2 linked regions of the Danio rerio genome follow. The protein of the gene in region 1 interacts with the protein of each later gene in a pairwise test. Links are inferred from orthologs where the notes say so. Each region holds a gene or a part of one and is shown in the gene's direction. Other genes may lie near its edges. The genes, in order: srfa and elk4.

Region 1 (16,593 bases):
CAAAACAAAACTTTCCATCCGGAGCTCCTTCACGGGACTCCACACTTGTAAACAATCGCTCGAGCCATTCGCGCGGCTCTCGGTCCCGCCCAGACTCGTCAGCGCTACCAAGCCGACCAATCACAGAGCTTGCACTACACGTTTTTGCGACGTGTAGTTACAATTTTTGAGAGGTGCACGTCAGTGACGCCGACGGCCACAGCGAAGGGCTATGCGTCAGTGCCGTAGCATACGCCGGTGTTTGACGCAGAAATATAATACTCTGTGTTCGACAGAAAAACCCAATTGAAGTCATTCTTTCTGTATGGGTCATTCACAAAATGTGTTTTTTTGCAAACTTTAGATCATTATTTAAAACATAGACATGCAGCAAATGAAAAAAATAAATAGAGAGAGTAAGCAACACCCTTGCACTTTCTATACATTTGGATGCAATGTGAACAGACCATAAACAACAATAGGGGACATCCTGGAGATCCTCTTCTTGCTTCTTAGCATGTGGCTGTTTGTCACAAGAAGAACCAAGCTTTGTTTGAGCTCGGGTTGACCATGGTTCATTGCTGTGCACTATCATTGTATTACTACGATGATTTGTTTCAGCTGTGTATTTAAAAATGAAGCTTCCTGTGTTGTAGTTCCCCTGACTTGTTGTATGCACAAGTGATGGTTCTCTGTTAACTTGTATAAGTTGTGTAAGTCTGTGCATTCAACAGCGAGTCTTGCTTCACCCTTTTGGTACTATACTATTATGCTAGGTATCCTTGCGAAGTGGTTCTGTTCACTATTTTGATACCTTTTATCATGGAAACTGAAATAATTAGGTACTGTACTGTAGGAAACCGTACTGCTCAGTGGAAAATGAGCCATTAGGAACTGTCTTGATTAAGGGTGCTTTTACACTAGCACTTTTGGTCCGCACCCGGGTTCGTTTGACATCAGAGTACAGTACGTTTAGCTAGTGTTAACTAGTTCTTCGGAACTTGGGTGCGCAGCCACGAACCGAATCACAGACATGCACACACACAGACACACAAATCGATGTTACGAAAACAAAACAGTTGGCGGTTCACTTCCATTATTTGGTACAATTGCATTTTATACCAGAAGTGAACCTGACCAGTGTTCGGTGGACTCAGGTACGGTTCACGAGTGTGCACCCAAGTTCAGAAGACACATTTACACTAGCTAAAGTGTAATGTCAAATCGCCACAGCCATATCACCCTGCAGCCCAAGACCGGTTACGCACTGAAGCTAAGCAGGGCTGAGCCTGGTCAGTACCTGGATGGGAGACCACTAGGGAACACTAGGTTGCTGTTGGAAGTGGTGTTAGTGAGGCCAGCAGGGGGCGCTCAACCTGTGGTCTATGTGAGTCCTAATGCCCTAGTAAAAGTGAAGAGGATACTACACTGTCAGTGAGCGCCGTCTTTCGGATGAGACGTTAAACCGAGGTCCTGTCTCTCTGTGGTCATTAAAAATCCCATGGCACTTCTCGTGAAAGAGCAGGGGTGTAACCCCGTTGTCCTGGCCAAAGTCCCTCTATCGGCCCATACGATCATGGTCTCCCAATCATCCCCTTCCACCGAATTGGCTCGATCACTGTCTCTCCACTCCACCAATAGCTGGTGTGTGGTGAGCGCACTGACGCCGTTGTCCTGTGGCTGCCATTGCATCATCCAAGTGGATGCTGCACACCGGTGGTGGTGTGAAGAGACCCCCCTCATGATTGTGAAGCGCTTTGGGTGTATGGCCGTATACATTAAATGCGCTATGTAAATACACATTACATTACATTTACATTACAAATAAACCCGGGCGTGAACCAAATGTGCTAGTCTGAAAGCATTCCCAATCTTTCATTGTTCTTTTTTCTGTTCCTGCTGTAACACCTTAATTTTCCTGAAGAATCTTCAAAGGAAGTATAAGTTAAAGATGAATGCCAAGGTGCCAAATAAAAGCCTTTGCTGTCACTGACCAAGAGCTGATTATTCTTAATCAATACTCTTCCTTTTTGGCATTTTTCTGTAAAATACATAAAAATAAATTGTTACAACAGTTAAACTTGACAATATAACTGTAAGAATGTTAAAACTGATAAGACACTTACCTCACTTTTTCCATACTGATTTAGTGCCAACCAGCCCTACATTTAAAGTGTTTATGGGTTTAATGATAATAGAGTTGAAGATCAGTAAAAATAGATTAATAATAATAATAAAGGCACCTTCAGCACTGCTCAGCACCATATTATTTGGAGTCAGCATTCTTGTGTTTTTTGCCAAGAAAAAAATTTCTGTAAAAGACAAAATTTTTTAGAGTTCTCAAACTTGACAACATAACGGCAACTATAATAAAAAATAACAGAGACTGTAATAGATACTTACCTATGTTTGAACCCTGCAATAATTTTCCCAAACAGATTTAGCATCAGCTGGAAGGGTATCTGTAGAGTAATTGGGGGTTCATTCACCTGTGGTGACCCCTGATAAATCAAGTCAAGGGATTGTGAGTTAGATTTAGCATCTGCTTTGCTACAATTTAAATTTTGTTGTTGAAAGTTAGAGTTGAAGATTGGTCTGAATGTATAATAGCGCCCTTAGTAGTGTCCAACAAAGGATTATTTGCTGTCAGTATTCTTGTGTTTTTATCAAGGAAAATATAGTTTAGTGATTGGTTTCTCTTTTGTCTTTCAGCGCTCCAGCAATGTAAGTGCCATGTTGGTAATGACCAAACCCTTGACTGGACCTCGAGAACATGTTGTGGATCTGGAGATGGTCACCCAAAGTAATGTCTTGTCCTACCGTTCAAGCTCTCTGCTGAGACTCACCATTGTTGTGGGTCCATACCCTTTCTAAATCCTCTAGATTGATCAAATCAGCACTTTGGATTTATGTATGTACTGCAGCTTACTGTGTTCAAAATGTTCATCAAAGCATGGTCCCCTGTTTGTCCAGATCAGTGGTTCTTACCTGGTTGGTTGCAAAGCGATAAATGGTTCAGAAACTTATTAATAGACTTTTAGAGGTTTTATAAAAATAAATATTTTGTAAGATACGCCATATGTTGACAATTTTTATACTGTGTTGGGTCGCCATTTAATATCCAATGACCTGAACCTTCCTGGGAACTGCTGGTCTAGATAGTCACATTTTTATTACAAACAGGAATCAGTTTACTAATCATCAAAAAAGTGGGTTTTCAGGTTTGTTGACGTTTCTAAGTCATTTATATTTGGTCTGACTGGGTGATGTGAGGCCCTTGAATATCTGAAGAACAACACTACTGGTGACCAGAAAGAAACACAATTACAAAGTTTTACTCTGAATAGCACTTATAGGTTCTTTGTCTTGGTAGTAAGAGTTTTGAAAGATCCTCCTGCATTGGATGCTTGTTTTAAAAGGGTGGTTTATCCAAAAAGTTAGCCTGTCATCATTTAATCACCATATGTTATACAAAGCTCTTATAATTCCTTTTGCATCTAAAACTGAGGTGAAGTGTGTCCGTTTGCATACAGTGAATGTCAGGCAGATCCTATTGAGTTACAAAAACAAAACGCATAAAAAAAACCAGTCTACACTACTCAAATTTTTAGAACAGACAATAAAATCAACATGGGTTCATTCTGAAAACGTAGCTCTATATACGTTTCTATAGAATTATGTAGCCAGAGGAACGTATGGCTGCATTTCGTTTTTAAAACCAACGCTACGGTGCCGTTTCTTTTCTCGCTTACAGCTGACTGCTTACCTTTGTATGGATGCTTGTCCAGTTACCAGTTTGTCCAGTTAGCTTGCCATGTACGTCGGTGGACTTAGGACACAGAGAGGAGTTGACCACGACGACAGGGTTTGAGTCCGGTGAAGAAGCTCTCAAAGCTCTAAAATTTCACTGACATGAAATCTACATATTCAAACTGATACACCACAACTGGTTGAATGCCACATCAAACAGTCAATAATTTAGGTTTGTTAAGTGCAGTTACATTAACATTTTTAAAGGACAGTAGCATATAGATGTATGAACTAACAGATGTCACTTTCAAAGAAATCAGCGAATAATGAGTGCAGAGCTTTTTTAATTTCCGGATTCTGCTTGACAACTGTGCGTTCACATTGAAAATCAATCCATGGGAACACTGAAGCACTCTCTGTAACACAAAACTATCAAATAGCTACAGAAGGCTTACAATAACATACAAAAAGTAGTGGAAAGAGTAATGAAAAATCATACCATTACTTGCCTAAAATGTAGTGCAAGTAGAGTATAAGTATCTGTTTTCAATATTACTCAAAGTATGAGTAAAAATTAGACCTTTCAAAAGTACTCAAGAGTAGAGAATGGTGAAATGCTGATGCATTTACATGTAATTTTTGGATGTGTGTGTAAACGTAACATTCTGTAGTGCATTTAGTTATCGCCCAGCAGGCACATCAACATCATAAGACGTTAATATTAGGTTGTAATGTCAGGTGACCAAAATTCAATGTTTAGCCAGCGTCTAAGGACAACGGTATATGATGCCCAATAACAACTTTAAATGACGCTGAAATTTTGGTTGATTTTAAGTTGTGTTAGAAAGTGACCAAAATCCATTATCGAGCTGACATCTTAAACCAACATATGGATGTCAAATACTGACATTTACTCGTCAGGTATGGAAGCCAAAATACAACATCTGATAGAAGTCAAAGCGGTAACGTCCACACAACGTGAAACTGTAACATCATTAGACGTTACGATTTGGTTGCTTTTAGATTGGACATTGACAACGTCGGCCTGACGTTGGGTTCTGATATCAACCCGAGGTTCATTTCCAAACAAAATGCAAAGTCCCCTTGACGTTGGGGTACCCTTGACTTGTGCCTGCTGGGTGTTTACGTCCATTTTGGTTATCACAGTAATCCTCCGTCATCTTCTCATCAGTGACATGCATCTTAACAAGCTCTAGGTCAATGCATGTGAAGATTTTGGACATCTTTATAGACACTTTTAATGCTTCTTAACAGTTTGCTGCGATTATAAAGCACTCACGTCTTAAGGTAGTTCATTATGATGCGATTTACCTTCTATGTGTGATTTGATTGGACTTACAGGACTGATTTTTCTAAACCCCATAGACAAGAAAAAATAAAGTAGTGACTCAAGTTGAAAGAAAGTGCAGTGATACAGCACTAAAAATGTACTCAAAAGTACACATTTATAAAACTACTTAGTAAATTACAATTTCTGAGAAAAACTACTCAATTACAGGAGTTTAAGTATTCTTAATTAGTCACTTTACACCACTGCATATAAGTGACATGGACCTCTTTTATGGTGCATTTTAAGTAGACGTTGCTTTCTTGCGTCAAACATATGACAGATTTTCGTTTTTGAATAAGCCAAACTTTTAACCTGCCAATAAGTCAACGCTTTTACATTGCTCATACATGGAACATGGAGAAGCAAAATGTACTTTAGTGCTTATAGATTTCTTACATTTTAGCCAGGGAAAAGTGTTTTATTGGTGGAACATGTGGATAAGGCAAACAGAACTGCATAGGGTTAGGTGGAACAGTTTGTGTTGTAATCTAATGGCATCCTTAGCTAATGGAAATCTCTGATGCGTCCTCCGCCTTGCGAATACTCCAGAAATGACCTCCTATCCTATGAGAATAAGGCAATAATGTTTTGGAAACAGAAGTGATGTTTTCAGGAAATTGCTGGCAAGGGTTTTGGGTCGCATAAGCAATGGAACTCTTGCCTAACATGTCTGTATGTTTGCCAGAGCAGCGTTTGATCTTCTGCAGTGTTTCGTGTTGATGGTCTGTGACAAACACTGTTACTTAAACCGTTGCGTCACGCTCGGCGTCCCCAGGGACATGGTGGTGGGTGAAGCCAAAATGGTTCGTGCACCACCATGTTATATGCAATTATTTGGCGAGCGATCTCTGCATCGAGACTTCGTATTGCAACTTAATATGCTTACAAATCAAATCTGTATGTTTTCTAATCAGTGACTTTGATTCAGTGAGTTTGAATGCTCCCTGTTCATTCTCTTATTGAGATCATCTAAATTGATGTGGACTGGTTGTTCCTGCTCACTGAAGACAACCAATGTCTAAAAAATGGATTTGAATCTTACGTTCAGGAATAATCTGTATTGTTTATCAGTATGCTCTCAAGTTGCACTGTTTTTACTTATTCATAGTGCCATTTATTCTGCTGTAAAGTGTTTTGGAAATAAATATAAATTCAAAAACTGTCGTTTTGTTTTGCTTATTACTTTGCTTAACACATCTATATATTTCCAGATGTGCATCAAAACAAATGTAGCACATGTAATGCTCATGTTCTCAAATCTAATCTTCTGCTAGTATTGCATAACGTGCATGGGTCAGTTTGGTATATTCCTGGAACAGTTTAAGAGGACCACCAAGATTCATCTGCAGTTATTACCTCCTGCGGTTGCAGATGGGAATATGTAACTATGTGATGTTGTCATGACAATAGTTGAGCAGTTCCTGTAAGAATATTTACACACTAATAGCCAAGTGGCTTACAGAAAACATGTGAGCATTACATGAACTGAGTTTTTGCTTAGACCTTTTTTATAATTAAAGAAACGTGGAGTAAACATGAACGCATACACAAAATATTTAACATTATGACTGGAAATTGAATGTTGATCTTTTTGAGAACCTGTTGTTAATGGATAAAATGAATATTTTATTAGGACGCCACCTTTCTGATGGTTTTATACGAGTACTGAAAGGTTGTATGTATCAGAACCAAAGACTTTTGAGACACTTCCATATTTGAGTACTATGCCACCTCACATACACTACCCTCGCTCCAACTGTATTTTAAGTGGAACGTTTCAGTATTGACTTGTCCCAAGCTCTAATACTGATTATATCAAAAAATAGTTTTGGTTAAAGGGTTTGCTAATGTAATATCTAAAATTGATCACATATTCATCACAGCAGAAATTACACTGAAATTAGGTAATAAAGGGGACGACACTGTGGCGCAGTGGGTATGTCACCTCACAGCAAGGATGTTGCTGGTTTGAGCCCCAGCTTGGCCAGTTGACATTTCTGTGTGGAGTTTGCATGTTCTCCCAGTGTTTGCGTGGGCTACAGTCCAAAGTTCCCACAGCCCAAGCACATGCGCTATAGGTGAATTGAATAAACTAAATTGGTCGTAGTGTATGTATGTGCAGGGGAGAGTGTATGAGTGTTTACAAGTGCTGGGTTGCGGCTGAAAGCGCATCCACTGTGTAATAATATATGCTGGGTAAGTAGGCTGTGGCGACCTCTGATTAATAAAGGGGCTAAGCCGAAAAGTAAATGAATGGATGAAAATGACAAAGAGGTGACTTGTCCAATTTAACACAGTACTCAATTTCAGGTTTGGTTTTACTATGAGTGATTGTGACTGGGTTCGAACCAAAGACATTTGAGAAACATCGCTTTTTCAGTTTAGTATTGGATTAAAATCATTTTATTAACTCATCCCAATTCAAAATATTTAAAACATAGCTATTATAAGGGCAGCGTTGTTAGTTGTTCTCTGTTTAACGCTTTAAATGCCCCACCATGAAAAAATTGGAATTTCATTTAAGTCCTAATGTCGCTAGTTAACATACTCAATGCATTTTTTTTCAACACATCCCATAATTTCTAAAATATCCACCTCAACCAAATTGTTTATATGTCGATTTATGGTTAAAATACCAAAATTATTACATATACTATAAAAAATCTGAAAATATGAAGTGTAAAGCCAATCTATATTTAAAAAAAATGTATGTATATATATATATATATATATATATATATATATATATATATATATATATATATATATATATATATATATATATATAAACTAAATCATCTTTATTTTTTGAAGTATACCATAAAGTATTTCAGATTCTCATTTAACATGTTTTGTTGTTGTTTTACTATAAAACCAAAATCAAGTGTAGTAGTGCAACAGGATTATTTGTTTGATTTTTTTGTAAACCTACAATGCTGTGTGTGTAAACCATCATTTAAAACAGTCAAACTGTAAATTAGTTTAACAGTCATTATTTAAAACAGTTAAATTATGGTCAACTATTTGGTAAAGCAGGCAGTTAAAGAGTTAAGGAGTTTATTATTTGTATATCTATCATGGAAGAAATTACACGCAAGTAATTATTTTTATTTGTAAGTTGATCAGTGGAAAGAAATGCCAAAATAGTTTGTTGTGAGGTTGGATAGCTTACAAAGGTGTTTGAGAAACATATTTGAGCACTATGTTACCTCAAATACATATTACTTGAGTATAACTTGTTTAAATGTACTTTTTAAACTTCTAAAACGGCGATTCTTTAGCAACAACATTGAGCCTTTTCTACATTTAAAAGGTTTGCTAATACGTTTATTTTATTTATTACATTATTTTTATTTGTAAGTGTGATATGGATGAAAAAGCCAAACGACTTAATGTTATATCTCCCAATATATAACGTAACAGCTTCATCTGCTGGTAAAACGGAGTAGCGCATCATTTGCACAGCTCCCACAGAGCTGAATTTGACGAGTTTGCCCTAAATTTAAATTAAGCGGTCACGCTGTCAACTTATATTAGGTTTTAAAACTCAATCAAGTACATTTGATTTACCTTTTCTCATATTTCTCCTCAAAAACGCGGCGTTTTGTCGTTATATATTACTATTCAGTTCTGAGGTAAAACACATTTGCTAGCTAGTTCGTTGTGTATGACGTAAATCATTTGTGTCAGCCAAATGACACATGAGCCAATCGCAGGGTCGGAGAGGTTTGCGTAACCAATCGCAGCGCAGCACTGTGACTCACCATACATGGACAGCCATCACCATATAAGGAAACATCGACTCGCTTTATATGGAGGAAAGTAGATCTATAGACGAACGTCTCGTGAGTTAAATTCTCAAAATAAGCAATATTTTACTAATTATTTTCCCCAGAAAACGTTAAACTTAATATTTGACCAAAATAGTGCTTTTTATGAGCTAATAACGTATTATCTAAAACAATACCGACCTTTAAGCAGAGAACTATTTTTAAAGGCGGAGCTGCATTGCGCGGTCGCGATTCGTCGTTTCCAAATGTGGCAAGCGCAGCGTAAGTTCAGTCGAGGTTTGATTGATGGACTGTAGGCGGAAACTATATGTTGTAAACTTTGTACGGTGGTCGTAAAGGGCTAGTTTTGCAGGTTTATTTCTGTCGTTTACGAGACCCTCAAATCCTGACTTTCATACTGAAACAAATCCATCCGTAACCAGAAATAGCGCTTGCCTGCTTTAAGTTGTCCGCTGAGTTGAGCTAATGTTTCTTAGCCTAGCATATGTGAGGTAAGTTCGGTTTTGGGTCTGGATTTGATCTGGGATCTGCTGCACAGATCGCTAACTTTACACCCACCGCAGACCGCCGTAGTGCCGCTTGCAGGTCAGCGATGTTAGGGGGCAACGGGACGGCCAGAGGGGCTGGACGCTCTGGTAATGGCACGGGATTGACACCTCTACAGGTGGGCAGCACATCTGGGGCTCTGGGGGCTGTAAACTCTGTCATAAACCTGCCCGATGGGGGCAGATACGACGACGGGCCGTCGGTCGAGGCTGTGCTGAGCGGCTCCGATGGAGACTCAGACTCCGGGGACGATGAAGAGAGCCCTGTGCCGGACAGGAGAGGGGTGAAGCGGGAGAGGAGCGAGCTGGAGGTCGGGGGATCTTCTGGATCTAACGCCGCACTCTCGGCAGGATACGGAGGGGTCTCCAGCGGGGTGGCCGGAGCGAAGCCCGGCAAGAAAACGCGAGGACGGGTGAAAATTAAGATGGAGTTTATTGACAACAAGCTGAGGAGATACACGACCTTCAGCAAGAGAAAGACTGGCATCATGAAGAAGGTATGTTCATGTGTCTTCTGCTGTTAGTCTGGAACTGATTGTACCACTGCTGTTCTACTGCTGTACTGATGCTAGTTTTACACCAGTGCTAAACATCTATGCTAATATTAGCACTACAACTACTAGTAGTGCCATGCCAATACGTTCTTCAGTAACTGGTACTCTAGTAAACTTTAGTATTTACCTCATTGTGCTTTGTTTAATTCTGTATAAATAATAGTACCACTAACATTACTATATTCAGGATTCCCACTGGTCATGGAATTGTAAAAGCTCTATCCCACATCCTGTAAGTCAGGGAATTGTATACATTTTTTGGTAACACTTTAGGTTATTACATATTTATAATTATGACATTGGTTGTTTTTTAGTAGTTATAAAGTATCGTTTTATTCAACATCCTTAAACCTACCAATACCTAAACCATAGCTCTCAAACTCAATTCCTGGAGGGCCACAGCTCTCAGTTTTGCTTCAACCGTAATCAAACACAACTTATTCAACTAATCAAGGTATTACTACTAGTAGAGACTATTAAGTAGGTGAGCTAGAGATGGTTGGAGCTAAACTGTGCAGAGCTGGGGCCCTCCAGGAATTGGGTTTGAGACCTCTGACCTAAAGCCAACTTCTTACTAACAGTTAATTAGCAGCAAATTAGTACCTTAGTGAGAAAAAAGTCTTAGTTAATGGTTTGTTTATAACAATAATTGTACCTTAAAATAAAGTGTAACCATTTTTATTGGCCCAAGTCATTGAATAACAGGGATTGTTGTTGTATTTCTTATTTCTTTACATTTATAATTTGTTTTTCAAAGTCAAATTATATTCTTCTCCCGCTTGTCAGCTGGCATAAGTCCTAGGGTGCTATCACACCTGCCTTATTTAGTTCGGTTGAATCGCACTAGAGTTCGTTTTCCCTCTTGGTGCGGTTCGTTTGGGCAGGTGTGAATCTAACAATCGTACTCGAGTGCGCACCAAAAGCGGACTAAAAAAGCATAGCAAGACCCCTTAGAGGAGGTGATCTCGGTACGCTTACAAACATGGCAAATTAATTCTTAGTATTATAAATATTTATTATTGTCTGCCACATAATAAAAAGTTTGAACAATAACACACTTACAGGTAAAAAAAAGATAAATAAAACATCAACGTTTTAATTAAAATGTAATTTTAAAAGTTTTTACTTGAATAATTCAGCGATTCCTCCGCGTACCACTAGAAGGAAGTCCGCGTACCACTTGAAGGAAGCCAGTGCATTGATAATGACCAAAAACACATTGAATGAGCAATTTTACCCAATAAATGCATCAATAATATCCACTGATTTTTAGATATTCAATTAAGTGAACTTAAACGATTAGAATGGCAACAAATATTTAGTTGAACCCAAACTACAAAAAAAAAACATTTAAAATAATTTTAAACTAGTTTTAAACTAGTGGGGTTTTGAAATCAATTAATGCAAATAATCGAAATAACTGTAAAGCCGTGATTATTTCTAAGACTATAAGCGTACAACCAAAATTTATAATCGTTGCATCCCTATTTTCAACTGGTTCAGATTAAAGCAATCAATTTGGTGTGAAAACGGCCCAAAAACGGCAGAAAATGCTACAATGTGTCATTTGTTGCCCTTGGTCCGGACCAAATGACCGAACTACAGATGTAAAACCACCCTTATGCACATAAGTCAAAATGCAATCCCCAGGCTTTACCTGTTAAATACTGTCTATATTTTGTGTCTGCCCAGTGCTCAACCCAACAGAAGGTATAATAAACCTTAAAGACGTCACAGAAATCAAGCATTTTGCTATTTAGTCAGTAAAATTTACATATTTTGACATTTGGTTTAGACTGGGAGCCCTGTATATGATACTAAATCTATAGAAATAGTTCCACTTGATTGATCCTAGAGCTACAGTAGAGATGCTAGCTTAGATAGTTTAAATTAATACATATTCTAACACTTCACAAAAACTCTACCACTAAATGTAAAAATACTTCATTTAAAACATTAATAATATTAGTGTCAATGGTTTGAACTCATGAAACTGATTCTATTATTGTAAAATAACAGTGTAAATTACAACATTGATGTTAATTCTATTGAAGTAGTAGTATCACTAGATTATATTGTAAAATTTCAGATACTAACTCTTTTTAAGTACCAGTATTTGCTTAAAATCATACTGCTGAGAAATACCTTTCTTAAATCTCAAAATCAAAGTTGTAGGCTTTAAAAAGTCTCAAATTTACTGAAATATTGTGTTGTAGGTCTTAAATCTTTTTTTAAACAGGTCTTAATTTTCATTTGTTCATGTATTGCTATCCAATCTGGCCAAAACCCATAAAATCACCAACAATCCATCTCAACTTTAAACTTTTTTTTTATTATTATTTAAAAGTTAATTTTTAACTCTGTTTATCATAATGGTTTAATTATTTTCCTTGTAATAACATTTGTTTAGAAGTGGTCCATGTATTTACTGTTGAGGACACTGACCTGGACAGGTTGTTGTGCATAGATTAGGTTTGTTATAGTTTTTAAAACTTTTAAAACATTTGTTCATTTTTTTTATTTTAAAGAAAGTTTATGTTGGAAAAAAAACTTGTATGGATACAAGTAGAGCTTGCTTAATTTTACACAATATTTAAAATATTTTACTTATAAATATCTAAAATATTTGAATTCTTTATTATTTGTTTATTATTGTACTATTGAATGCATCAAATTATTATAATTTCTTTTGATAGGGCAAATAAAAATCTTTTCCATCTGAGCCATTTGTAAATTTCCTTAGCCTTTAGCTCTTTATGAGTCTAAAATTTCATTCATACTGGTCCTGAAATATCTTAATGTCTTAAATTTAACTTGGTGAAACCTGCAGAAACCCTGATATTAGTAAATCAGTTCTAATACTCAAAGTACTCAACTAATGTTTAATATTTATGTTGATTTTAACACGGTGGTAATATTAGTATCTCTTTTCCTAATGCTATGTCACTACTAGTTATTTATAATGGTGTTTTACCAATGCTTGTACCTTTTACACTGTTTGAGGTATAGGTTCTGAATCATGCTTGTTTACTTATGTTATATACGCTGACTGTACCATGCTACTTACATGACATTTGTGTTTAAATGTGTTTTACTGCTCCTGCTAAACCATGATACGCAAGCACTGTTGTTGGTGTTATAATTACCACCCACTCATGTTCTGTAATACTGCAAGCAATTTTATAATTTGCATTATTAGTGGTATATGCTGAGATAATTCAATATACTGAAGATAGTAGTTTTATTATTAATGCTGCCATACTACTTTTGTAGTTCTACCACCAGTAATTTACAAATCAACATTGTATGGCCACAACCATATCATCTTGCAACCCAAGACTGCTTACTCACTGAAGCTAAGCAGGGCTGAGCCTGATCAGTATCTAGATGGGAGACCACAAGGGAAAACTAGGTTGCTGTTGAAGTGGTGAGGCCAGCAGGGGGCGCTTAGTCACTTTTGTGTGAGTCCTAATGCCCCAGTATAGTAATGGCAACGCTATGCTGTCAGTATGCGCCATTTTTCGGATGAGATGTTAAACCGAGGTTTTGACTTTGTGGTTATTAAAATCCCATGGCACTTCTCGTAAAGAGTAGGGGTGGCCAAATTCCCTCCATCAGCCCTGATCCTGCATAGCCTCCCAATCATCCCCATTCACCAATTTGGCTCTATCGTATATATACCAATTGCTAGTGTGAGGTGAGCGCACTGGCGCCGTTGTCCTGTGTAGGGCTGCACGATTAATCGAAAAAAGATCACGATCTCGATTCGACCCTACACACGATCTTAATTCAGCTTTTCTACGATTCAGTCAATTATATTTTCAAGGTCAGGAGAGAAGCTTAAAGGCGGCCGCACAGGTCCTTACAGGAACATGAACACCTTCAAATGGCGTTAAAAGTGTCACATACTGTATTTATAAGGTATAATTCACCCAGAAATGTCATTTCTGTCTCATGTAAGGATTTATTTGCGACAAAATCACATGTGAGCTGACCACGAGTCACTGAGAGAGCGTGCACGTAGCACGCCAATGACGGCTACTTTAGTGAACAGAACCTGCATATGCTGTGAATAACAAGTTATAAAGTTGTAAATAACGTTCAGTTTGTTGCACAGTGATCGTTTGAGAGCCGCGTTGAAAGAATGATTTGCATGTGTGTGTGTTTTATCACAGTGATGGCAGCCATGAGCCGCACTGGAAAGTGAAAGTGAAACCTGTGCGCACATCATTTAAATGATCATAACGCATTTTACAGTTATAATTACGACAAGCATTTGATGTGTTTTTTTTTCTTTCATAGCTAACAGTGTTGTGCATGAAAATAAATGTTTTACAGTGTCAGTATAGCTACTCTAGCTTATATTATGTTGAATATAATGCAAAAATGTCTGTGAAATGTCTGATTTTACCAGTGAAGACAAATGGTCTAATGATGCTGACAATGACAGATGACAAGCACGTCTTAAACATAATAATTCAACTTTATAATTATGAATAGTTGTATTCTGATGTGGGCGAGGCAGTGGCGCAGTATGTAGTGCTGTCGCCTCACAGCAAGAAGGTCGCTGGTTCGAACCTTGGCTCAGTTGGCCTTTCTGTGTGGAGTTTGCATGTTCTCCCTGCCTTCGTGTGGGTTTCCTCCAGGTGCTCCGGTTTCCCCCACAGTCCAAAGACATGCGGTACAGATGAATTGGGTAGGCTAAATTGTCCATAATGTATGAGTGTGTGTGTGAATGTGTGTGTGTGAATGTTTCCCAGAGATGGGTTGAGCCTGGAAGAGCATCCGCTGCAAAAAAAAAAAAACTTGCTGGATAAGTTGGCGGTTCATTCCGCTGTGGCGACCCCGGATTAATAAAGGGACTAAGCCGACAAGAAAATGAATAATGAATGTATTCTGATCTCATCATTTTACTGTGAATTATCAACCAGGACATAAGCCGCACTGGAAAGTGAAAGTGAAACCTGTGCATACATCATTTAAATGATCATAACACATTTTACAGTTATAAATACGACAAGCATTTGATGTGTTTTTTTTTTCTTTCATAGCTAACAGTGTTGTGCATGAAAATAAATGTTTTACAGTGTCAGTACAGCTACTCTAGCTTATATAATGTTGAATGTAATGCAAAACTGTCTGTTACCAGTAAAAAAAAATGGTCTGATGACGCTGACAATGACAAATGACAAACACATGTCTTAAACATAATAATTCAACTTTATAATTATGAATAGTTGTATTCTGATGTCATCATTTTACTGTGAATTATCAACCAGGACATAATGAAAGTCTGTTCAAGTCCACCATAATGACTACAAAATTGAGAATTTTAAGCAACAGTAGAGCTACACACAGGCCTAATATTATTAGTGTTGTTTTACCATATCATCGCTTTAGAATTATAAGGTTCTATCTGACATTTTTGTCAAAATTTAGTTATTGACATATTAAATGACAACTTATTGTTTACATTTTAAGACTTTAAAAAAAATGTTCCACACATACTGTTTGTGTTATGGATTGCAAAAACTTTGAAGCTCAATATGTCAAAATCATTCAGAACGCAGAGAGAACCTTATGATTTCAAGGTAATAAGGGGGGGTTTCCTCTTTTCCTCTTTTTTTCTGCTTTTAAATTGGTTATAAATGCGTGCATATAATACTTTCACTTTCAGTTTTGCGGGAATTGCCAACATGTGCTGCATAAGGGCGCTATATTACACAGAATACACTGGCAAGATTAAGTGGGACCAGTTTTATTTGTTTTGTTATTAACGTGTTGTTCTATTTAAAATGCCTTTTATTTGTAAAATCTCTCAAGTTAATATTGGCCATCTGGTAACATAATCTCCCTTAGAGATATTGGAGTTCAATAACGTGGTGCATAGTATGACTATTGACCAACAGCTCACTGTAAGTTTACACACTGCATAGACTACAGCTCTGAAATCCTACATCAGTTTGGCCAACCCCAAACACCTTTAGCTCTTTAGATAGATTTTTTTTTCTTCTGCTTGACTTGTTTTAACTTCAGTCAATAATACTGATTGGTACAGCCCAAGACATGACAAAAATTTATCGTTTTCATCAGCAATAAATTGCAAAAATGCAAGTTTTGTACATTTGGCATCGTTTCCATATTGCCACCAAATAGGCAGATTAATGATAATTCGAACACTAGTGCTTATTGTAGTTGTATAGTACTTTATTCTGCTTTTTTACCTCTAATAATTATTACTAATGACTGTTAGTAACTTCAGTATCTATTATTGCATCATACTAATACAGTTCAGTTCTTGTTATTGTCTAATTGTTTCATTAACAGTACTATAAGGGGCAATATCATCCTGCTAATATTGGATCATTACCCTATTAATGTACTTATTGTGCAATGCAAGCTGTATTACTGTCACTGAAGTTCTTACTATACCAATGCTAATGCTAAACACTATGCTTTCACCATTATTGTACTCTAATAAATACCACTGAATTAATACTAGCACTAGTAGTTTTACTGTAACAATAGCAAAACCAGGTAACATGCTTGCATCTTTCACTTCTGCCGGATTTTATGCTACTTTACTACTGCTTATACCACACAGCAGTTAGTGTAACACACAG
Region 2 (15,905 bases), on another chromosome or scaffold:
TTTATATTTGGATAAAAAAATGTGTGTATGATACATTTTAAATATCTATGTAAATAGCTTTATTTTTATGTATAAGTGTGTATTACTATACATAATGCATATATATCAACCCAGGCTCATTCTGGAAACGTAGCTCCACGGACGTTACTAGAGACCGTGAAATACGTTCCTGGAGGTACGTATTTGTGCAGTTTTTGTTTTCGCTAATCTGCGAGAGGCCGCTGTGCACGCTTTTTTGCATCTCGAACGCATCTCGCAAGCGCGCCGTTCGCGCCCGCACTGTTCTTGAGTAAAAAGCCGCCGGAGGCCGCTGTCGAGCGACCGTTTGTCCGACTGACTGACTGAACGATTGACTGGGTGGCCGGCCAGTTGGCCGACCCAGCAACCCTCCTCCTCCTCCTTCCCTAAACCAAAGGGACGATTTACAAAAGCCGCCCAGAAAAAGAAAAGCCCCTGTCTGATTTTGACCGCATTTTGTTCGCTTTATTTTTTGGATTCTGTTTTTTGTCTTACCTGATTTCTTGAACCGCTCTTCCCCGCACTTGAACCCGGTCGTCGCCGCGTCTGGCTCCTCCTTCGGGCCTCCACTCCGTCGACATAACACACCGAGCTAACCGGACAAACTGGTTGCGGCGGGAAAGCCCTCCACACAGAGGAGGTGTGCCGTCAGCCGGCGAGTGTGAAGAGCGGCGTCACACCGCTTTGTAGCGTTCGCTTCACAAAACGAAATGCAGCCATACGTACCTCCTGCCCATAAATCGCGGTTTCCAGAAACGTCCGCGGGGCTACATTTTCAGATTCAGTTTGGGTGGATATATATAATAATTACATAAAAAAACTATTTATTTTGGATGCAATTAATCATTTAAATTGAAATAAATTACCTGAGTTTAACATGCAATCTTACTATACAGAGTTAATGAACAAAATTCATATATTGATCTTATAATTTTACGTTTTTTTAGGCCACATTAATGTTAACATTTTAAATGGCATATTAGGTCTTCAATGAACAGCTACAGAAAATATAACAATCTGAATATTCTTAAAATACACTCTAAAATTGAAATAATGAATTATCCATGGTGTATTCAAGTGCCTCAATATCAGTATTGGTCATGTTCATTATTATGATTTATTCAATTATAAAATATACATTATTTATTTTTACATTATGTGTTTTTTTACATTATACTATACAAGTTGAATATTATAATGAGAAAATGTCAGTTTGTAACATCAATCAGCTTATAGAGCTGTTATTAATGTGTAAACATCTTTGGAAGTGAATGAGACCGGAAGTGTTTAGCCAAAACAATCCCACTCATATGTGAAGAATTAGGTCAATAACGATGGTTTGTTTTGTAGACAATTGGAAAAAAAATATTGCTTAATAATAATGACCTTAAAATGTAAAAAAAAAAAAATCAAAAACTGCTTTTATTCTAGCCAAAATAAAACAAATAAGACTTTCTCCAAAAGAAAAAAGAAAATAGGAAATACTGTAAAAATTCCTTACTCTGTTAAACAGCATTTGGGAAATATTTGAAACACACAAAAAACTGTATGTCTGTTTCTGATTTGATTGCATCTCCATCCTTTTAGCCTCCTTCAAGATATTTTTAGGAATATGCCGTGAAATGTCAGCCAGCCTGTGAGCGTGATCAGGATCCTGAAGGTATCGTATCGAGAAGGACATGGACAGCTCTGTGACACTCTGGCAGTTCCTGCTGCAGCTCCTGCTGGACCCAGGGAATGAGCAGCTCATCTGCTGGACCAATGAGGATGGAGAGTTCAAGCTGCTGCAGGCGGAAGAAGTGGCCAGATTATGGGGAGCCCGCAAGAACAAACCCAGCATGAACTACGACAAGCTCAGCCGGGCCCTGCGCTACTACTATGACAAGGTGTGTGATGTTGTCTTTGTTATCATTTGCGCACTCTCATTTGGATCATATTAGTTATTGGTAGGCCATATTGGAATCTGCATGCTTCGAAATCCACAGATCTTTGAGTCTACTTGTTTACTTGTGTAAATGTGTGTAAATTTATATTTATTCAGTTTTTGAATTAATTTCTGTTATATTATTGACTAATATGAAATTGTTCATATGATTTATTTACAATACTGTTTGTAAAGTTTTTTCTCTGTACTTTTAGAGAGATGTATTATGAACATCTCGTTTTAGTAGATGTATTATAAATAAAAGATACTTGCTTTGTTTACCAAATAAGTGGATGTAATTGGATTTGCATTGTAAGCATTAAAAAAAAGTTAAAAGGTATTATATTTTATATATCAAGTTTTTAGTTAAGATACTCCCCAAATCATTCCGTAATCATTCCAAAAATATGCTAATTTTTAATAAAGTTCTCTGCAGAAATAGCAAAAAATGTTTGCAGATTCTGTCTGGCCCTAATTATCGGTCAATGCTATGTGTGTGTGTGTTTTTTAATGAAAAAACGTTTACGTAACATTTTAAATCCAACCATAATATCCCTAGACACACAATTATTATTATTATTATTATTATTATTATTATTATTATTAATGAATTATATTATTATTATTATTTAATTATTATTATTATTATTATTATTATTATTATTAATAATACTAATGAATTATATTATTATTATTTAAATTATTATTATTATTATTATTATTGTTGTATGTAGTTATTATTATTTTTGTTGTTGTTATTGGTGATCATCTTATATAACCTCTGTGATAAGAGAACTGTGTAATAACATAATAATGCATTAGAAAACATGAACTAAAATTAAATAATATATATTTACAGCATTTATTATTCTTTCTGGATGTTAATAAAAAAATCTTATAATGTTTTGTTCATGTTTATTCACAAAGTATTAACTAATGTTAACATACAACTTTATATTTTTGCGAACTATTAGTTAATGTTGTAACTAACAAACTAAAATCATGGTAACACAATGAATGAATATTATATTTAATTATTTAAATTTTATCTAATTTTCTTAATTTAATTACAAAATCTTCATTTTTATTCGCTACTTGTTTCATTGTAACTTGTTACATTGTTTAAGTATTACATACATACTGTAAACTTATATGTAAGTCATAACAACAAATGTTTTTATGTTTGTTAAACTAATTTTAAACGTAAATTTAAATTAAATATTTAAAGTTATAGAAATTTTAACTTAATTTTTTCAGTTTGTTTAACTGATGTGAGTTGAGATGACAAGAAAAGTTCAGTTGATTCAACTAAAAAATATAGGCAGCAAGATTTTTTTACAGTGATTATATATTACTATTATATATGCATATGTTATATTCAAACTATTGATAATAAATACTAATTTATTGAGAATTGTTATTATTATTTTTGCTATTATTATTTATTATTATTAGTAGTAGTAGTAATATTAATAATGTTATTATTATTTGTCCATGTTTCATTCTGGCTGTAATTTGTTAAGAAAAATGTATATTTAGTGTTGTGATTTATTAGATATTATCTTATAATTAATTGGGGTTGATATTGTTTGATTTTAAATTATTAGGCATTAGGGATGTAACAATATTGTAAGTACTGTAATACCGCAATAAAAAAATTTTCAATAATACCGTAGGCGCATGACTCAATAAAACTTTATTTCTGAGAAAAGTTTGCTTAGGCGAATGAAGCAAATGGGAGGTAGCAGGAACTACAATTTCCATCAGCCTAGGCGTGGCCATCATCCTTTATGGTCTGTTCTCACTACAGATCCAGTATAATGCGGAAATGGAGTGTGCTGCTAGTAGTGGGGAAGAAAAAGAGCTGGAAATGATCGAACCTAAAGCAGGTTTTAAATCGAATGTGTGGAAGCATTTCGGGTTCTTTCTAAAAAGATACAAAAAAAGGAGAAAAGGTGACAGACAAAGAAAAACGGTATGCAGGCACTGCCAGACTGTGGTGAAATATAAGTTGGGGAATACGACTAAAAACAGTCATGGGGACTGCAGAACACAGCACACTTGTTAGATTGATGTAGACATTGACTTGTACGGCAAAGAGACCTCTATCTCACTCATGGCTTGTCCTCTCAAGTGGTGGAAAGACGATGCACAACGTTACCCACTGCTGTCAACCTTGGCTAAATCATATCTCTCTGTCCCAGAAACCTCAGTCCCAAATGAGAATGTTTTTTTTTTCTGTTGCAGGGGACATGCCCAGAGATCCCAGCTTTTACCAGATTATAGTTATATGATAATTTTTCTTAAAAAAAAACCCCATCTCTATCTAAGTGAGTGAGTGATTAAATTTGTGATTGTGATGAGTTTTTTCTGTCTTATTTCTCACAATACTAAATTGAAACTTTTTTTTTTTTTTACATGGTTTAATAGTTTTTTGTTATCAAAATTGAAAAAGTTCCGGTTTCTAAACTTACAGGTAGATGGCTAATTTGTATGTCATTAATATGTTCAGTGCTAAGGTAAATAAACACTTTTGGCACTTTTTTCGGGTCTTTTCATTAGTTTTGTTTTCCTGTAAATTATTCAATAAATACCGTACCGTGCCATTCATAACGAGATATTACCGTACCATGAAATTCTGATACCGTTACATCCCTATTAGGCATTTATTATTAGTTATTAGGTATTAATGTTCTATTGCAAAATAATTGAGTTTGTAATGACCGTTTTCCTTACCATTATTCTTTATCCAGGTTATCCATTTTCTTTTATTATATATTATTTGTTTTTGTAAAATTAAGGTACGTTCACATAGGCTGGGTTAAACAGCTTGTATTCTGTTATTTTAAAACCTGCAAGTTACCATGTCACACAAAATAAATATTTAAATTATAAACTAAATTAAGCACTCAAACACTTGTTATAAGCTGTTAAATAAGTACATATGTTTTATTTATTTATTTTTTGGGGTGTGCTAATCCCCATAGGCTTTAGAGATTTACCAGGCTAATTCTGTTGTGTCTGTATATTTAAATCAGTGTTTATCATAATTGCTAGCGTTCAGGCCTCTCATCCCCCCCACACTCTTCTCCATCAGTAAGTTGTTTTGTTGCTGTAAACACACAATCAAATACATCTGAACTGCAAGAAGAGGGTCACAGATCCCGTTAGCACAGTGAGGAAGTCATGGCCTCTCGCTAGGGGTTTATTCTTGAGTGCCAACCGCGTGTTTGAGGGTTTGGCACTTGCGTTTTAAGCTTCATCTTGGCACCACAGGGCACGAGGTATCGTTTACTGAATTCTTGCTGGGCTCTTTCACTTAATTGCATGTTATTTTGTTGGAGAGGGTACAAGAATGCAACTGACTGGCTGGTAAAATGTACATGTGAGGGACGTTTTGGTTGATTTGTTTGGGTTTTGACAATATTTTTGGATGCATGTAGGCGAACGGTCAATCCTAAGCTAAAATTAACATGATTTTTATTTTTCCTCAAATATTTTCATCATCAAAAAAGCAAGCAAACTGAAGATTTTCTTGTGTTTAGCATTGTTAAATGTACACAAAACAAACTTTATTTCACTATAGATCATTTTGAGGGATGCAAACAATAACAATGGTCCTAATGTATTTCCTGTTTTAGATCTTTCATTTACAAAGCTTCTGAGAATCCTGAAAGCTTCATGTTGATACTTTTTTAATGACAGCCATGTTAACATTAGTTGTGACTGAATCACCTCTTATTATACAGTTCTGACGAGCAGGAGCTGTTCATGGACCAATGATATCACCATATTGAAATGGTCTATATACATTTTTATTTATTTAACAACATTTTTTAGAGAGAAAGAGAGTTTTGTTTACATTTACCTTGCATAGTATTATGTGCAAACAATATTAACATATACTTTTATAATAATTTGTGTGAATATAAAAAGATGTATTTATAAAACAAAAAAAATGGATGAACGGCTTTGGATGAGATACGTAAGAAACTAGTCCTACACATAGGTGCAGTTTGATTACATGTGGAATGGCAGCACGGTGGCTCAGTGGTTAGCACTGTTGCCTCACAGCAAGAAGGTCACTGGCTTGAGACCCGGATGAGTCAGTTGGCGTTTTTGTGTGAAGTTTGCAACGTACTGTCTGTCTTAGTCTGTCTTAGGTTATGTATATAGTTAAGTAGTAATTTTTAGTATATGTATAGTTAGATTACCACTTTAGTAAACTCTCAGAAAAATGGTACAATTTTGTACCAAAGGAGGCACAAACCCTTGTCACTGTAGAAGTTCCTATTTATGGAACAGAATTGTACCTTAAGACAAAGAAACAAAATTGTACCATTGCAGTTTGTGCAGGCCCATTCTGAAAACGTAGTTCCATGGACGTTCCTGGAGACCGCGAAATTCCGGGAGGTACTTATTTTTGCAATTTTTGTTTTTGTGAATCCACGAGACGCTGCTGTGTGCGCTTTTTTGCATCTCAAAATGTCTCTCGCTAGTGCCGATCGCGCCTGTGCTGTTCTCACGTAAACCCATCAGAGGCCGCTGTCGACTGACCGTCTGTCTGACTGACTGATTGACTGGGCTACCAGCCAATCGGCTGACCCACCCACCTCCTTCCTTGAACCCAACCAATTTTACCGATTGACCCGCCCACCCGCATACTTCCCTAAACCCAACCAACAAATTACAAAAGCTGTCCAGAAAAAGAAAAGCCCTCGTCTGATTTTTACCACGTTTTCAGATTTTACCACATTTTTACCCTGTTCTGAACTTGCTCACTTTATTTTTTGGATGCTGTTTTTGTCTGATATGATTTCTGGAACCGCTCTTCCCTGGACTCAAACCCGGTCGTCGTCGTTGTGGTCAGCTCTCCTCTGCATCTCAAGTCTGTCGATGTACACAATGAGCTAACTGGACAAACTGGTTGTGGCAGGAAAGCCCTCCACGCGGAGGTAATCGGTCAGCCAGTAAGCGTAAAAAGGACTGGCGTCATACCTCCCCGTAGTGTTCGCTGAAAAAATGAAATGCAGCCATACGTACCTCCGGCTACATAATTCGCGGTCTCCAGAAACGTCCACGGCACTACGTTATCATAATGAGCCTGGGTTGAGTTTGTACCTTTTAAGGACATGATCTGTACCATGGGAAACCAAAATGTACCTTAGGATTTTAAAACCTGCAGATACAATATTGTATTTTCATCAAAGGTACAAATCTGATCCATGAAGGTACCACTACAGTGACAAGACACTTTGTACCTTAACAGTGTCAAATGTGTTCCTTCAAGAACTATTTAAGGGCGTTTTGCTTTATCCAAAATGGGTCAATTTATGTTCAGTAATTATGAAACATCAAATACATTTTTTTAAAAACGTTTCTACACCTTTTCCATTTACAATTAAGAGTAAAAACTACTTTAACATAAATCAAAAGATCTATTTTTTGCTAAACTTTTCACAAAAATGTTACAGAAATACATTCTCCCATCTTTAATATTAAACAGTTTTTCTCCAATTTTCACACAACACCTTTGTGATCACTTAATTTACTTAATTTTTAAATAGAAATAGAATTATGCAAAAGTATTGTGACGAGATATGACCAGTGTTTGAGCTTTACAATACTAAAATGTCTGCATGAACACTTTACATATGCAGAACTTTTGAAAGCTCATGTGCGTAGTGGAAAGCAAACGCCAAAAGGTGCGGATATCAATAATGAAAATGTATTTATCAGAAAATGCTTATAATGTTTATTAAAAATGCCTTAAATGTTTAGTTTACATTACCTATATTTTTGTTTTACCAGTTGTTTTGTATTATAGAACTTAATGGTGAATGTTTATGAGTTTCTTTAAACGTATGCTTTTAAATGATGATTCATGTTTTAAGATGGAAATTATTCATAAAATCACTTTGCCTTTCCAGTAATATTTAGATTCATAGATATTGTAATAACGGAGGAGTACCTTTTTAATGAGAACAGCTGTGTACTTTTATTTTAATTGTACCATAAAAGGTACAGAGCATTCTCATAAGAGGTATTTTCTGAACTATATAAGGTACAATTTTTACAAAGGTAAATGTTAGCTATGCATAGGTTATATGTAATAGCTCCTACGTCCAGTGTTGTGTTCATATTTATGATTATGTATTTTTATGCAGCACCGTGGTCCTGTGAGACACAACATTTCATTCCGCTGTATGTCAGCACATGTAGCGTAATGTAAATAAAGCGTGACTTGAGTTTTTATAATATTTTTATGTGCATGCCAAAAAATGTTAGTCATCAGCTAATGTTTTTTCCCATCCTTTCATGCAGAACATCATCAAAAAAGTCAACGGCCAGAAGTTTGTCTATCGTTTCGTGTCGTACCCTGACATCCTAAAAGGAGACGTCATGGCCAGGGCCGAGGGTGCAGACGGAGGCTCGAACGGCCCTCTGCCTCTCTCGGACCAACCAACAAACATCTCCAGAGATAAAGACAACAAATCCATCATAGAGCGGGGAGCCGGAACACTGGCTCAGTCTAAATCATCCAGCCGGAATGAATACATCCACTCTGGCCTTTATACATCCTTCACTTTGACCTCTTTGCAATCGGGAACGCAACTTTTTAAAGCCACCAAGAATGAAAACCCAGGAGAAAAGCTAATGGAGAAAAAAAGCACCCAGGATTCACCCCAGCCGTTATCCACAGTTATCAAATTTGGGACCATGCCACAAAAAAGCACCACTGCGTCTGCTATAGGAAGACCTGAACTTCCAGAACAGTCCGCTCAATCACCTCTGGCTGATCCCGAATCCAAACAGACCTCCATCTCCAATACTGTGTGTGCGTTTGTGGAGAAAACGTCTTCAGAGAACGCCATGACAGGCTTCCCTGTGTCCAGCATCTCTCCATCAGTGCTCCATCATTCCTCCCAGTCTCCCTCTTCTTCTCCCATGACAGATTCACAGCAGCTGGTGATTGACAGTGAGATTGAGTCTCTTTCCTCACAGCCTTCAGAGTTACAGCTGCAGGTACGACACTTTCTGATGATGATGATGACCATGTTATACTGTGAGTTGTGCAGTATTGGCTTTGGGAATTTGTGCAATAAAACATAAATAATATTGTATGTACTCTGGTGTGTGTAATACAAAAGGATGTAGTTTTAAAGGCTTTTTAGCCCACACTTGTTTCTTTCTTTATTCATTTATTTATTAAACTAGATTTATTTATTAAACTAGAAACTAGTTTTGGCATACGCTTACACACACTTTCACGCACGCACTTGTACAGCTATTTTTAGGGCAACTTCCCATAGATGTAATGATTTTTTATACTGTAATGACTGTGTATTCTCTCTATCCTACCCCTAATCTCAACCTTCATAGGAAACAATTAGCATTTTTTAGATTTTCAAAATACCTTATTCTTTGTGAGTTATGAGTCTTTTTCCCCATGGGGAGCAAAAAACGTATATAAGCAAAAAAAAAAAAAAAAAAAAAAAATATATATATATATATATATATATATATATATATATATATATATACAACAGTTCTGTCTGGTTCTCGAATCTAATTGGCTGATAGTTGTGATATATTTAAGTAATATCAACACCCGTACAGCCTCTTTACCCTTTGTGTATTACTCCGCCCACATACAGCCAGCAAAAAGCAGACACTACAGATCTAAAGTTTAAAAGATGCATGCTCAGCTGTTTAACTGTCAGCTTATGATTTGAATCCAACATGGAAGAAAGTTGTTCCTCATACAAAAGGGCTTTTAAGACTCTCCATGTTTGATTTTGTTTTTATATACACAATTTTGCCGTCAAACAGTTGTATAAACGCAATATCACACTCGTAGCAGTGCGATATGGCTGTATATCAGCACTTGTTGGGGCACTAAGGCAACGCATGCCTCCCACCAGTGCCGAAATACAGCCATATCGCACTGCTACGAGTGTGATATTGCTCATTTATATATATAAATAAATCACATTCATATACGTGTGTGTGTGTGTATATATTAACGCAAGACTCTTATCGGGCATTTAAAAAAAATATTGTATAATCTATTCTCAAAGTTTGGTTGGGAGCTGGGTCTATTCTACGCAAGATATGATGACTTTCAACTTAATATTTTATCGCAGATGTATACCTGACCAGTGAGCCGTCTGACAAAAAAGTGCCCTTCTGGATCTCTCACTTACTTCAAAGACACTACTGACTACGTTTACATGGACATCAGTAATCTAGTTATTTGCCGTAATAGACAATAATATAGTTAAGGTGTTTACGTGAAGTGCTTTCATGTAACATTTTCCTGTAATTTTGGGTGACTTTAACTGTTGTGCGGCAGTTTTACATTTACTCATAAACATTTTAGTCATCCCCCTTGACTAACTGGGGTTTTAGATGCAAATAAGGAGTAAGGACTGGTGAGGGTGTTATAGTATTTAATAACACATACCAAATGGAAAGAAAATAACTTTCACATTTCACAATGTGTGTGTGTGTGTGTGTGCGTGGTCCTTTACTGACAGCCGCGTCTGTGGATCTTGTCTGAAAATATGGCGAAAAGTCCTACATGACGGTAATAGTTTAATTGGGGTGTTTACTTCAATGATGCCACTAATATATGCATATTCCACGTCTTAATTACATTTCTGTTTATTTCACTTATGACTTTAGTCGAATTAAGGTAATCAAAAAAATCACTGTTTCGATCTTACGTAAAGTTCAAAATTCAAGTTTTACTAAATAAATAGTCAGTAAACAAGTACATCTTATTGAAGATAATTTATTTTCATCACCAATTATCACAGTAGAACAGTTTCTCAAGCAGTTTGTGATGCATTTTGGAAACAGGAGATGAGCCCCTGGTCTAATGCGCTACCTGGCTTGAGAAACCCGTTCTCCAAAACTTATATGTAGTCATTATTCGGGTCGCACACATATTTTAAATGCCTTCGGGAGAATTCAAATGAGCCATTTTGGTCTAGATTAATCTAGATTAATGCCAAGATTACAGTGAGATTAATCTAGATAAAAAAATCTGTGCCCACTTATAATATTTACAGTAGAATAAAACATTTTCCTATACATCAAATACAGGGCTTTCTTAAATTTTAATTCTCCTTTTCTGCAATTTCTGTTTTATTCCAAATGAAATGTTCTGGATTCAGTTAATTTGTTCTGGACTTTATAATGGTTGAACTAAATTGCAATTATCAGGAAGCATGTCCAGTTAATTTAGTCAATACAGTTAGTCATAACACATATTCAGGTTAACAATAATTTATAAAGAGATCAAGATAAAAATGTAATATGTTAATGTAATATAAAAATATATTAAAATGTTTTTATCATATGCATATATAATGTTTGTTGAATGTAGCATGAGTAAGACTTAAATCAGTCAAAATATGAAATTGGGCACACTTTAATGTACAATTCACACTTTTAACAAACCATTGACTAAGACTTTAAGCTCAATACACTACTAATTAGCTGCTTATTAATCGTTATTTAGTAGTTGGGTTTTGGTATTGAGTTGGATTAGGGAATGTAAAATACGATAATACTTTATAAATGCTAATAAACAATTGATATCCTAATAATATGCAGGTAATAAGCGAGTAGTAAATGGTGTGAATAGTTGTGACTTAAACTAAAGTGTTACCATGAATTTAATGATGGTTAAATGCAGAAGGATATAATCTCTCTAAAAAACAAGTTAAACCAGTGTCCACTTTTATTTTCTTACATTTGCTTTTAACCTGTAGATTTATACTAGATTTTGCAGATCTATATTTAAACGATGAGATCAAATTGAATTTTATATGAAGGGATAGTTCACCCAAAAATATCATTTATAAAAACGAGTTAAACCAGTGTGCACTTTTATTTTTTTACATTTGCTTTTAACCTGTCCTTTTTCTCAATTTATCAGGTTCAGCCGTTCTCTGTTTCTAAGGCCACGGTATCATCTTGTGTCCTGCCCGAATCTCCACCCCGCAATATCAGCTCCAAATCGAAGAAACCCAAAGGCCTTGAGTTAATGCCCACGCTGGTGGTTACCAGCTCTGACCTGAGCCCTCTCAATCTGTCCAGCCCGTCCCTCCCGACGGCGTCTCTCACCCCAGCCTTCCTGCAGGTCAGTTCCCTCCTGACCTCCACACTCACGCAACTACAGGCTATTTTCTGCTCCCATTCATCTGATACAGTCATCAGAGCATCAGCAGATTTAGTTTTGGGTCACAGAGGAGGATTGTCTGGTGTATTTGTTGCAGGGCTAACCCAAGCGCAAGGGGGCCGTAAGGGGGATTTTATTACTCGATGCGAACAATATCAATGAATATTCACAGACACACTATAAATCTGAAAAGTGCATTGTCGATTTTATTTCCTTTAGTTGTGTTGCTTACATTATGATATATCTTTGTATAGCCTAATACAATTCTACATTTTATTTTCCAGATATAACTTCCTAGATAATGCGACGTTTTATAGAACTTTTAACCACAAAACTAAACAAATAGACAGAAGATTAATCTGAGATTTAATTAACGTTGACAAAAACAACAACGGCTACTACTGAATAACTACTGAATTATTAACTGAACTATTACTACTGAATTATTAATATTACTGGATAGTAATAATTTTATATTTTTTAGTCACAAGATGCTGCCAAACTGTCAAGAGTAGCGGCAGTAAAGATAAACTACTGCAAAAAAATAGCTTTTCTTATAGAATTTTCTTGTTTCTAGTCCAAGTATCTAAAAAATGTTAAATAAAGAAGCATTTTCTAGACAAATAAATATTTAATAATTAAAAAAAGAAATGATTTATTAAATCTGTAAAAACAAGCTAATTAATCTGCAAATAAGTCAAGTAAAATAATCTTATTTTAAACTGAAAACAATATTATTTTACTTAACCTAATTGGGATACTATTTATATTTGTATAAGTAGTCACCATTATCCATTAAAAATAGAGGAACTATGACGTCAATTTGAATGCAAAAACCTGGAAGCGAGTTAACATTTTAGCAGTTCCGGTTCCCTCGTCCCAAAGTCAACAGGTTTTTTCAAATGGGATTTTTGTTAAATCGCTTACATAAGGTTTGTGGCGAACACAAACTCGAGATACTTTCACGTTTTATTCTACAAAAGTGGTCACCAAACTTATTCCTGGAGGGCCGGAGTTCTGCAGATTTTAGTTCCAACCCTAATCAAACACACCTTATTTAAAAAGACGGTTGCTATCAAGTTGCTTAATGGGACTACAGGTGGTGTTGGAGATATTATACGTCATTGAGCTGAGCTGGTCCGGAGCGCAGCTCGCTTGTGTTAAACATTTGGATTAGTCTGTGATTTAAGTATTTTCTTACATAGTATTTTATAGTTTGTAGTAATTTTCTAATTGGGAATTCATATTGTGTGTAGATAATTCCTTCACTTGTAAGAGCTGTCGAGACATTTATTTGTTGATCATTTATTTTATTCATTCATTCATTTTTCTTTTCGGCTTTGTCCCTTTAATAATCTGGGGTCGCCAGATTCGCATGTCTTTGGATTGTGCAGGAAACCGGAGCTCCCGGAGGAAACCCACGTGAACACAGGGAGAACATGCAAACTCCACACAGAAACACTAACTGACCCAGCCGAGGCTCAAACCAGTGACCTTCTTGCTGTGAGGCGACAGCACTACCTACTGCGCCACTGCATTGCTATATATATATATATATATATATATATATATATATATATATATATATAAATATATATATATATATATATATATATATAAATATATATATATATATATATATATTAATATATATATATATATATATATATATATTAATATATATATATATATATATATATATATATATATTTATTTATATATATATATATATATATATATATATTTATTTATATATATATATATATATATATATATATATATATATATATATATATATATATATATATATATATAAAAACATTTTTTCATTTATTCATTTTCTTGTCGGCTTAGTCCCTTTATTAATCTGAGGTCGCCACAGCAGAATGAACCGCCAACTTATCCAGCATGTTTTTACGCAACGGATGCCCTTCCAGCCACAACCCCTCTTTGGGAAACTTCCACACACACTCATTCACACACACTCATACACTACAGACAATTTAGCCTACCCAATTCACCTGTACCACATGTCTTTGGACTGTGGGGGAAACCAGAGCACCCGGAGGAAACCCACGTGAATGTAGGGAGAACATACAAACTCCACACAGAAACGCCAACTGAGCCACGGCTCGAACCAGCAACCCAGCGTCCTTCTTGCTGTGAGGTTGACAGCACTACCTACTGCGCCACTGCATCGCCTCAGTTAAACACAAAGAAGATATTTAGTAGTAAGATAGAAACCTGTAATCATTGACTTCCATAGTATTTGTTTTCCCTACTATAGAAGTCAATGGTTACAGGTTTTCAGCTTTCTTCAAAATATCTTCAAAAAGGGACTTATAAAGGTTTATAACCAGACAGTAAATAGTGAGTAGATTTTTGGATGAACTATCCCTTTAAGCTGAATTAACAGTTGTTATTTTGAGGCACTAGAGGGCAGTAGTGCACCACTTAAACTACTGAAGCTCAATGATGCTGAAGAGAGACACTCATTGGGTTACATGCTGGCGATCATATGGTGAGCTTTAGCTGGATGCTGCTTTGATGGATCACCTCGTTAAAACTGCACAATCTTTGCATTTACGAGCACTCAAACCCTCGGCCCCAGAGGACCCCCCCCCCCCACAGAGATGAAAGATGAAATATACTATAATTCATATCTATTATTTATGATTTTCATGAAATACAGCACCCTTGCCCTCTGATTAATTCTCACTGCTTCTTAAAGTCTCATTAAGCCACTTTTAATTAAACATTTATATTTCAGGGGTTATGCCTCTTGCAAATGCTTTGTGCCGTGATGCTCGCGCATGTTCTTTAATGAATGCGTGCTGGATGAGTGGAGTAAAAGTTCACATTTGTTGCAGACGCCGCTGCTGCTCACGCCCAGTCCACTTCTGTCGAACATTCATTTCTGGAGCACGCTGAGTCCTGTGGCGCCGCTCAGTCCCGCAAGGAGACAGGGAGCACACAACCTCTTCCAGGTGAGAGTCAGATGATGGTCAAAAACCTACATTTACATTCCCTGATCAAAGCATGAACTAATGTGACATCGAACTAAATTAGCCCAACTCAAAGTTTATTTCGAGCTCAACTATTCTATTGTTTTAAATATGGTTCAACTTTTACATTTACATTCCAATTACATTTATTAATGGTGTTGAAAATTTATGTGGACCTAGACTAGACCCTTGATGTATAATTTATTTTTAATATTACAAACAGATTTAAAGGGATAGTTCACCCAAAAATTCTGCTTTCATTTACTCTCCCATTACTTGTTTCAAACTATTATGAGGTGCTTTTTTCTGTTGAGCACAAAAGAAGATATTTAGAAAAATGTTAGAAAGCTGTAAGTATTCACTTCCATAGTAGGAAAGAACAAATACTATGGAAGTCAATGGTTACAGTTTTACAACATTTTCCTAAGTATCTTCTTTAGTGTTCAACTGAAGAAAGAAACTCATTAAGGTTTGAAACCACTTGAGGGTGACTGAATAGTGAGTAAATGTATTTTTTGGGTGAGCTACCCCTTTCTGGCAAGACACTGCATGTGAATATAGTAAAAACAACATATTTGTTAAAATGTTAACGTTAATACTGTAATAGTTTATTTTTCATGGAACAAACGAGCAGTTCTTACTTTATTTCTCAGAATTGTGAGTTAATATCTTGCAATTCTGATTTAATAACTTTGCTTTCTAGTTTACATCTCACAACTCTGATGAAAAAAGTCTTAATTGCGAGTTTTAATACAAATTCGCAATT

The links.
Region 2: the proteins of srfa (region 1) and elk4 interact in a two-hybrid assay, tested with the Homo sapiens proteins (2 studies listed by BioGRID and IntAct). The link is inferred for Danio rerio from reciprocal best matches to the Homo sapiens genes SRF and ELK4.

What each region holds. Positions count from the first base shown.
Region 1 is NC_133197.1:37,087,985-37,104,577, forward strand, and holds the start of srfa (serum response factor a), read left to right. Parts: upstream 1-9,140; 5' UTR 9,141-9,463; coding exon 9,464-9,913; intron 9,914-16,593. Other genes in the region: si:ch73-173h19.3 (uncharacterized protein LOC563864 precursor), read left to right, coding at 2,692-2,853. UniProt on the Homo sapiens protein: SRF is a transcription factor that binds to the serum response element (SRE), a short sequence of dyad symmetry located 300 bp to the 5' of the site of transcription initiation of some genes (such as FOS).
Region 2 is NC_133186.1:40,882,677-40,898,581, reverse strand, and holds part of elk4 (ETS domain-containing protein Elk-4), read left to right. Parts: intron 1-1,605; 5' UTR 1,606-1,697; coding exon 1,698-1,904; intron 1,905-8,266; coding exon 8,267-8,968; coding exon of another isoform or gene 8,969-9,055; exon of another isoform or gene 9,056-9,123; intron 9,124-11,891; coding exon 11,892-12,095; intron 12,096-15,004; coding exon 15,005-15,121; intron 15,122-15,905. UniProt on the Homo sapiens protein: Involved in both transcriptional activation and repression. Interaction with SIRT7 leads to recruitment and stabilization of SIRT7 at promoters, followed by deacetylation of histone H3 at 'Lys-18' (H3K18Ac) and subsequent transcription repression.